Linked DNA regions of Arabidopsis thaliana. The protein of the gene in region 2 interacts with the protein of the main gene of each other region in a pairwise test. Each region holds a gene or a part of one and is shown on either strand. Other genes may lie near its edges.

Region 1 (3,349 bases), on a different chromosome or scaffold from region 2:
GGTCGATATCTCGGAACATGAAAAGGATTAGACTAAAATGTGATTGCTTGAATTAGCTTTTAGCCTTTGACAATTGACACTCACGGGATGTTTAGTATATTATGGGCTTTAAAGGGCCCGTAATAATTTATATATTCTTGCTAAATCGACCCATTGTGAAGCCTCTCTTAAAACTAATTTATAAATGTAGATAATGAAAATTATAGTTCAATGCATGCATACATAGCCACATATCCCATATGGATTATTATTATTTTATTTTATTTTAATTTTGGGTGCAAATCCCATATGTATTAATTTACATTAAATGTAATTAAATGCTTTCATACTTTTCACAAATAACTTTCTATGATAGAAAAATACCATTACATTATTTAGAAAATATGAAATGATTTAATTTATTACATTTAATGTAAAATAATACATATGCGATATGTGTAGGTATGCATTGAATTATCATTTCATTATGAATTTTCACTACGTGGCTAAAAGAAATCGTAAATGTTTAATTTTTTAACAGAGAGAAGCCCTAGGGCACATGTATTTTGATAAATTTCCAGTGCCCAAGTCTTCATCAAACGGTGGCGATGTACGCTATATTTTATACTGTTCCGCTGGCGAAAGAATTCAGAATCGCCAGAGGCTTTTTGGTTGGAAAGAATTAATTAACATTGGCATATATAAGTAAATATTGTTAAACATTATAACATGATGAAATACAAAAGGAAACCACAAACCATGAATTCAAAGAAACGAATGCAATCAACAAAGATTAAAGAACATCGAGATCAACACTTAGAAAACGGAACTTTATGGTTTTACTTTAGATCCTCAAAAGCCCAAGCGTTTTCCTTACGAATCGCGTCTTCTTCTTCAGGTGTGTAATCATTCTCAATGTTAAAGAGTTCTCGAACTTCCTCTGGCGACATATCTTTCATGTGATCTGCAACGGTCTGGCAAGTGAGACCAAGAAGATCTTGGACGTTGAGATAATTAACAGCGAGAATGAGTTTCATGACTGTTTCCATATCAAATTCTTTCATGAACTCTGCGTCCCAAGTCCTGAGCTCGTTCTTGGCTTCCTCGTTTACATTTTCGCTTGTTGCTTCAGTAGAATCATCACTATCATCAACATCATCAAGTACGTGTTTCTTGCAATACTCGATAACCAAAGCGAGGATATTTCCGGTGACGTTTTCAAGCGGGATTGCTTTATCGGCGCAGTCGTCATCGATCATGTGTGCTATGACCTTCAATTTACGAGCCACCGCTTCCTCAACCTCGAACGATTCATCATCCGAGCTAGTCAACACAATCTTGTTCGAAGACATTGTTTGTTTTGTTGTTTTGTTGATTTTTGAGAGATTTTATGGAAGAAATGAAATGAGAGAAATTGTTGAATAAAATTGATGAAGCTATGAAATAATGTCTCTCTTTTTATAATGAGTTGAGAGTGGGTCAAATCTTTAATTTAGGAAATATAGTAAGGAAAAATAAATATAACAAAATCCTACTATATAATTAATTGTTAGGCTCTTATATTTTCTTTTAATATTTGACCCATACATATACTACACACATGCTAATAAAATTATATTGATTAGATTTTATATAAGTTATACTAATATTGTAATTTAATATTTTAAAAATATTAACCATTATAGATAGGATTTCACCTAAAAGCAAAATTTAATTTTTGGTATCTCTTATCAACTCAATGTAAATATTAAATATAGTATAATATAGTGAGATTTTTTTATTTATAAGTTTTAGAAATAATTAATTTGATGACATGTACTTTGTTCTAAGATACTTACTTTTTCAACATTTAGCATTTTAGCAACAATTTTTTTTTTGTCAATAACTTTATTAGATTAATTTAAACAATCTAATTCTGAGGAATATTGTTTATATAAGTAATTAAATGTGGTTTAGATGTTTTGACTTTTTTATTATGGCAGTTATGTAGTGGCAGACTCATAACTTAATTTTACCGGGGTACTCCAAAACAGAAACGAGTTACCAGGAGCACTATGATGTCCAGGGCCGGCCCTGAGCTAAAGCTGGTGAAGCATGGGCTTTAGGCGCCAAACGGTATTAATGATTTAGAGGGCATCAATTTCCAAAAAGTTTTTCTGGCACAGTGGTTATGTTGCCTTTCAATTAGACGAGTTCGATATAGTCTACAGTTTTTGTGTATTTTTTTTTCTATTACTTGTTAATGGGCTAATTTTTTTTTTTGCTTTAGGCATCAAAGACAAGAACAAGTTCTCTAGAACTAAGCCATACGCTCCTTCTCTACGGAAATTAATTCATGAAACCAAAAGCTTGAAGAAATTCAGCATTATGAGCCCGTCTTTACGGAACGATGATTACCGAAGTTTTCTCAATCCTTTAAATCCATTTCCTCTGAATTCTGAGCTCATGTATATGACATTACACAACATCTGCGATTGGTGGTTTTTCTAGGATTATAAAGCAATCTTTAGTAATTCTTAAGGTGAGCAACTCTTTAGGCTCGACAAGCTCTTGATCAATTTGCAAACCTTTCAAAGTTTGAAGAATAACGGCATTTTGACTGCATCTCCAAGGAGAAGTAGTTACCGAATCTTCGACAATCTCTCTTATCCGGCAGCTTCTTCCGTGGAACGTTTTCTTAAAAGCTTGTATGCGTTGTTCGCTCGAGCCATCTATAACCACATGGTGGTCGAGGAATTTGTGAAGTCTGTCTTTATGGGCGAACCCAATTTTTGCTTCAACAGATTTTTTAATCTTTGCAAACTCTTTAAAGATGAGCATCTTTTTGAAAAACTCATGGAGCCATTATCTCTCCTCCTTTTGTGTTTTTTTCAGTTTCTATTTGTATGAACATCCCTCTTTTAGGTTTTAAGTAAATTAAAGTTGTTTGACAAAACAAAAAAGAAAGCCCATACGCTCCTATCTCTCTGCCTCTCTCTCTTTTTCTCTCGCTTTATGATGTTTTCTACGTAATAAGTGTTGATATGGGCCTTGGGACGCTTCATATGAGATTGGATAAGTTTTCAACAAAATTTACGACCAAAAAGATTGCATGGCAAAATTCAACTGAATAGTATTAATTTGCATATTAACATCCTCTCGCATGAATTTTCTTTCAGTATATCGTCCGTATATTTTAATATCATAAAATAATAAATCGCTCTAAGAAAATCTTAACCTCTCAATTATCAACCCGAAAAGAAAAAAAAGAATATTAAAACGAAGTATTTTATTCCCATCCTAGATTTGGGAAGGAAAAGGAAAAAAATAAATAATAATAATATAAACTAAATTATTTTGTACGTATAACTATATATAAATATTAAATAGG
Region 2 (3,761 bases):
GTCGGGAGAGTGACAAAAGGGGACAAAGAGTTTGCGAGATGCGGAACTGAGACAAGAGAATTGGAGGAGCTTAGGTACATCCCGACGCCGGCGAGCAAAAGCTCCACCAGCGTCGGAAAATAGATTCATGAGGATGTCTTCGATTTTCGTGCTTGGGAGAGTTCACGGTTTTTTTTTCTCATTTTCTTATAGCTTTTCTCAGACGACTGCCACTAGATTTTAATGTTTGTTTTTGATAATTAGAAAAAAAATCTTCGAATTAAATATTTGACATTTAACAATCTTCCCTAAATCTCTCCACATTAACTACACGATTAATTACTAAAATAAAACTTTCAAAATATTTAATATCATTTAATTACTACAAAATTATCATTTTTGATATTGCTTTTCTCCATGACTATAATAATTCGATTATAATCATCAAACCGCAGAGATATTTGATAGCATTTAATTACTACAAAATTACAAAATATTTAGACAATAATTCATAAACATATCATAAATAAGATCAACATTAATAATATAAATGGTTTTTTTACGGAGCGGGTTGGCGGGACGTTACTTAATAATAATTGTAAACTATAAAATAAAAATATTTTATAGATAGATATAATTTGCAAACTTTTATGTATACTAACTTTAAAAAATAAATTATTCTCGCGGTGTACCGCGGGTTAAAATCTAAGACAATATATTATTAGAACCAATTACAAGTTCAAAAACAATTATCATGTCTAGAAAATAACAACAATTTTTTTGATATGGTATACATATTAGTTTTAAATTCAAGCAAGAACGAATACAAATTTAAACAAAAGAAAAATACTAAAATTATATTTTATTAAAGTTTCTCACATATAACACATTTATAGTTGATATATATATATATATGTATATATAATTATTATTTTATGATATTAATGAGACCTTAATGTTTACATAGTATTTATTGATTTATCATTTTTTTACATTAGTTCCAATTTTGTACCAATTTTTTTTATTAATTTATAAAGATTATTAATTTATTGAATATTAATTTATAGAGATTTTACTGTAATAGGTCTCTCCTATAAATGAAAAGGCTTTTACAAGTTTTCATAGGTATATCCTTGATCCTAAGTCCATGGATTTGAGTTCTGCAACCTTATACCGAGTAAATTTGCAACACTGATGTGAGAAGATAAAAAGACACAAATATGACTATATGGGCTTCCCACCCGATTTGAGCTTTCCACCCGATTTGAGCTTCGACCAAGTAAAGCTTTTTGAGCGAAGATTTCTTTTAAGTCAAACAGAGCACGTACTTATGTTTGTGTCTTTATCTCTCTGATCTCATCTTTTACAATTACAAAACAAAACAAGTAAAAGAATTTGAACGAAAATTTGGGTTCACCTCTAGGGGTGAGCCCTTATATTCACCTCCTTTTGCATTAACCAATAAAAACATGTCATGTCAAATCCTACTTAATTACATAATAAATTAAAGCTATAATTATAAATCCAAACCGATATATAATCTCGTTTAATTACAAAATCTAAACCCTAATTCTCCTTTGTAAATTCAAACCGCCATTTAAACTCATTTAATCGTAAAAAAAAACTAAACTCTAATCATATCTTGTAAACCCAAACCGACATTTAACCTCATTTAATTACAAAATCTAAATATGTTTATAAACCTAAACCAATATTTAATCCGTTTAATTATAAAATTTAAACTCTAATCGTACTTTCTAAACCCAAACCGATATTTAACCTCGTTTTCTAATAAACCATAATTTCGTTTTAGTAGTAAATTAGATTTTATAATTAAATTAAATTTTTATTATTATTTTTAAGTGCCAAATTTTAATTGGTTAAAATAAACGAGACGAATATAAGGGTTCACCCCTACTACTTTTCAAAGAATTTAGGTCAGCCGTCATCATGAAACGTCAGGAGATAGATCATATCCCCTTTGATCTAACGGTGGAGATTCTCACCAGATTACCAGCCAAATCTCTTATGAAGTTCAAATGCGTTTCCAAGTTATGGTCGTCCATTATCCATAACCAAAGCTTCATCGATTCCTTCTACTCCATTTCCTCAACACGACCACGGTTTATAGTCGCTTTCAGCAACGGTTCATTTCCCAGTGATAAGGAGAAGCGTTTGTTCATCTTCTCGTCCTCACACGAGGGACATGAATCTTCTTCTTCAGTGATAACCAATCTCGATACGACAATACCTTCTCTAACTGTTTCTAATAACCTTGCGTCACGGTGTATTTCCGTCAATGGTTTTATAGCCTGTTCACTTTACACAAGATTCACGATATGTAACCCTAGCACTAGACAAGTCATTGTCTTACCAATCTTACCCTCAGGTCGTGCTCCAGATATGAGAAGCACATGTATAGGGTATGATCCGGTGGATGATCAATTCAAAGCTTTGGCTCTTATTTCTTCTTGCATACCTAATAAAGATAGTACTGTAGAGCACTTGGTGTTGACTCTAAAAGGCGACAAGAAAAATTACTCATGGAGGCAAATCCAAGGAAACAACAACATTCCACCTTATTCCCCTGTGACTATGAGAGTATGCATCAACGGGGTTGTGTATTATGGTGCTTGGACTCCAAGACAAAGTATGAATGCAGTGATCGTTTGTTTTGATGTTAGATCCGAGAAGATAACTTTTATCAAAACACCTAAGGATGTCGTAAGATGGTGCAATGATTCAATTTTGATGGAATATAAAGGGAAGTTAGCTTCCATTGTAAGAAACCGTTATTCTCGTTTCGATACTTTTGATTTGTGGGTGTTAGAAGATATCGAGAAACAAGAATGGTCAAAGCAAACATGTGAGATTCCTCTCTCTGTGTGGGATTCTGTTGAGAACTTTAACATGTCTTTTCCAGGTATTAACAAGTTTGGTGAGATCATTCTAGCACCAACATGCTTGTCAGGCTATCATCTTCGATCCTTCTACATTTTCTATTACCATGTAGAAACAAAGAAGATTAGAAGAGTTAGGCTTGAAGGAATTGCAGATGATGAAAATTTTAGGCGGTGCTATGGAATTGGAAGTGGTCAATGTAACGTCTTTATCTCACCGGAACATGTTGAAACTATAAGGTTTCTGTAATGTTTCTTTATTCAAGGATATGTCATGTTTGCTTCTTTTGTTTACTCACATGTATGTGTTGATTTCTAGGTACCAAACAAATTGGTTTGATACTATGGGATCTTGAACAAAAGAAATGATGTGTTGTCTAAAACACCAGTGATTCATATTTAAGTTGGATGTAGAATCCTTGCTCAAAATTTATGAAATGTTTTCTCTTCTCTTTGCTCTGATTCTTTCTTTTAATCGTTAAATTGATTGGAAATTTTTTACATTTTTATTTGCAACCAAAACATTTTTCCCCAACGTATGGACACAGCTGAGTGATTGTCCTTTTAATATAACCTTGCACCTCAAAGCGCCTAAGGATGTTATTTGCTGGGAAGATGAATCAATTTAGATAGAATACAAAGGGAAGGTAGCTTTCATTGTAAGACACCCTTATGCTGGTTTTCAAAGTTTTGATTTGTGGATGCTAGAGGATGTGAAGACACATGATTGGTCCAAGCAAACATTTGAGCTTCCCTTCTCTTTGCGTTTGGGTACAAATGTGACTTCCCCGGGCACCAACAAGGCTGGTGAAATCATTTTTGCCCCAAAAACTCTGTCACGCGAAGACATCAGAAGAGTTAGGCTCCTAGGAATTGGAAATA

What was found.
Region 1: the proteins of AT1G30790 (region 2) and SK16 interact in a two-hybrid assay, tested with the Arabidopsis thaliana proteins (one study listed by BioGRID).

The regions. Positions count from the first base shown.
Region 1 is NC_003071.7:962,214-965,562, reverse strand, and holds SK16 (SKP1-like 16), read right to left. Parts: upstream 1,350-3,349; 5' UTR 1,332-1,349; coding exon 819-1,331; 3' UTR 662-818; downstream 1-661. Other genes in the region: AT2G03180 (uncharacterized protein), read right to left, coding at 2,437-2,799. UniProt on the Arabidopsis thaliana protein: Involved in ubiquitination and subsequent proteasomal degradation of target proteins. Together with CUL1, RBX1 and a F-box protein, it forms a SCF E3 ubiquitin ligase complex. The functional specificity of this complex depends on the type of F-box protein.
Region 2 is NC_003070.9:10,930,784-10,934,544, forward strand, and holds AT1G30790 (F-box and associated interaction domains-containing protein), read left to right. Parts: upstream 1-1,929; coding exon 1,930-3,129; 3' UTR 3,130-3,283; downstream 3,284-3,761.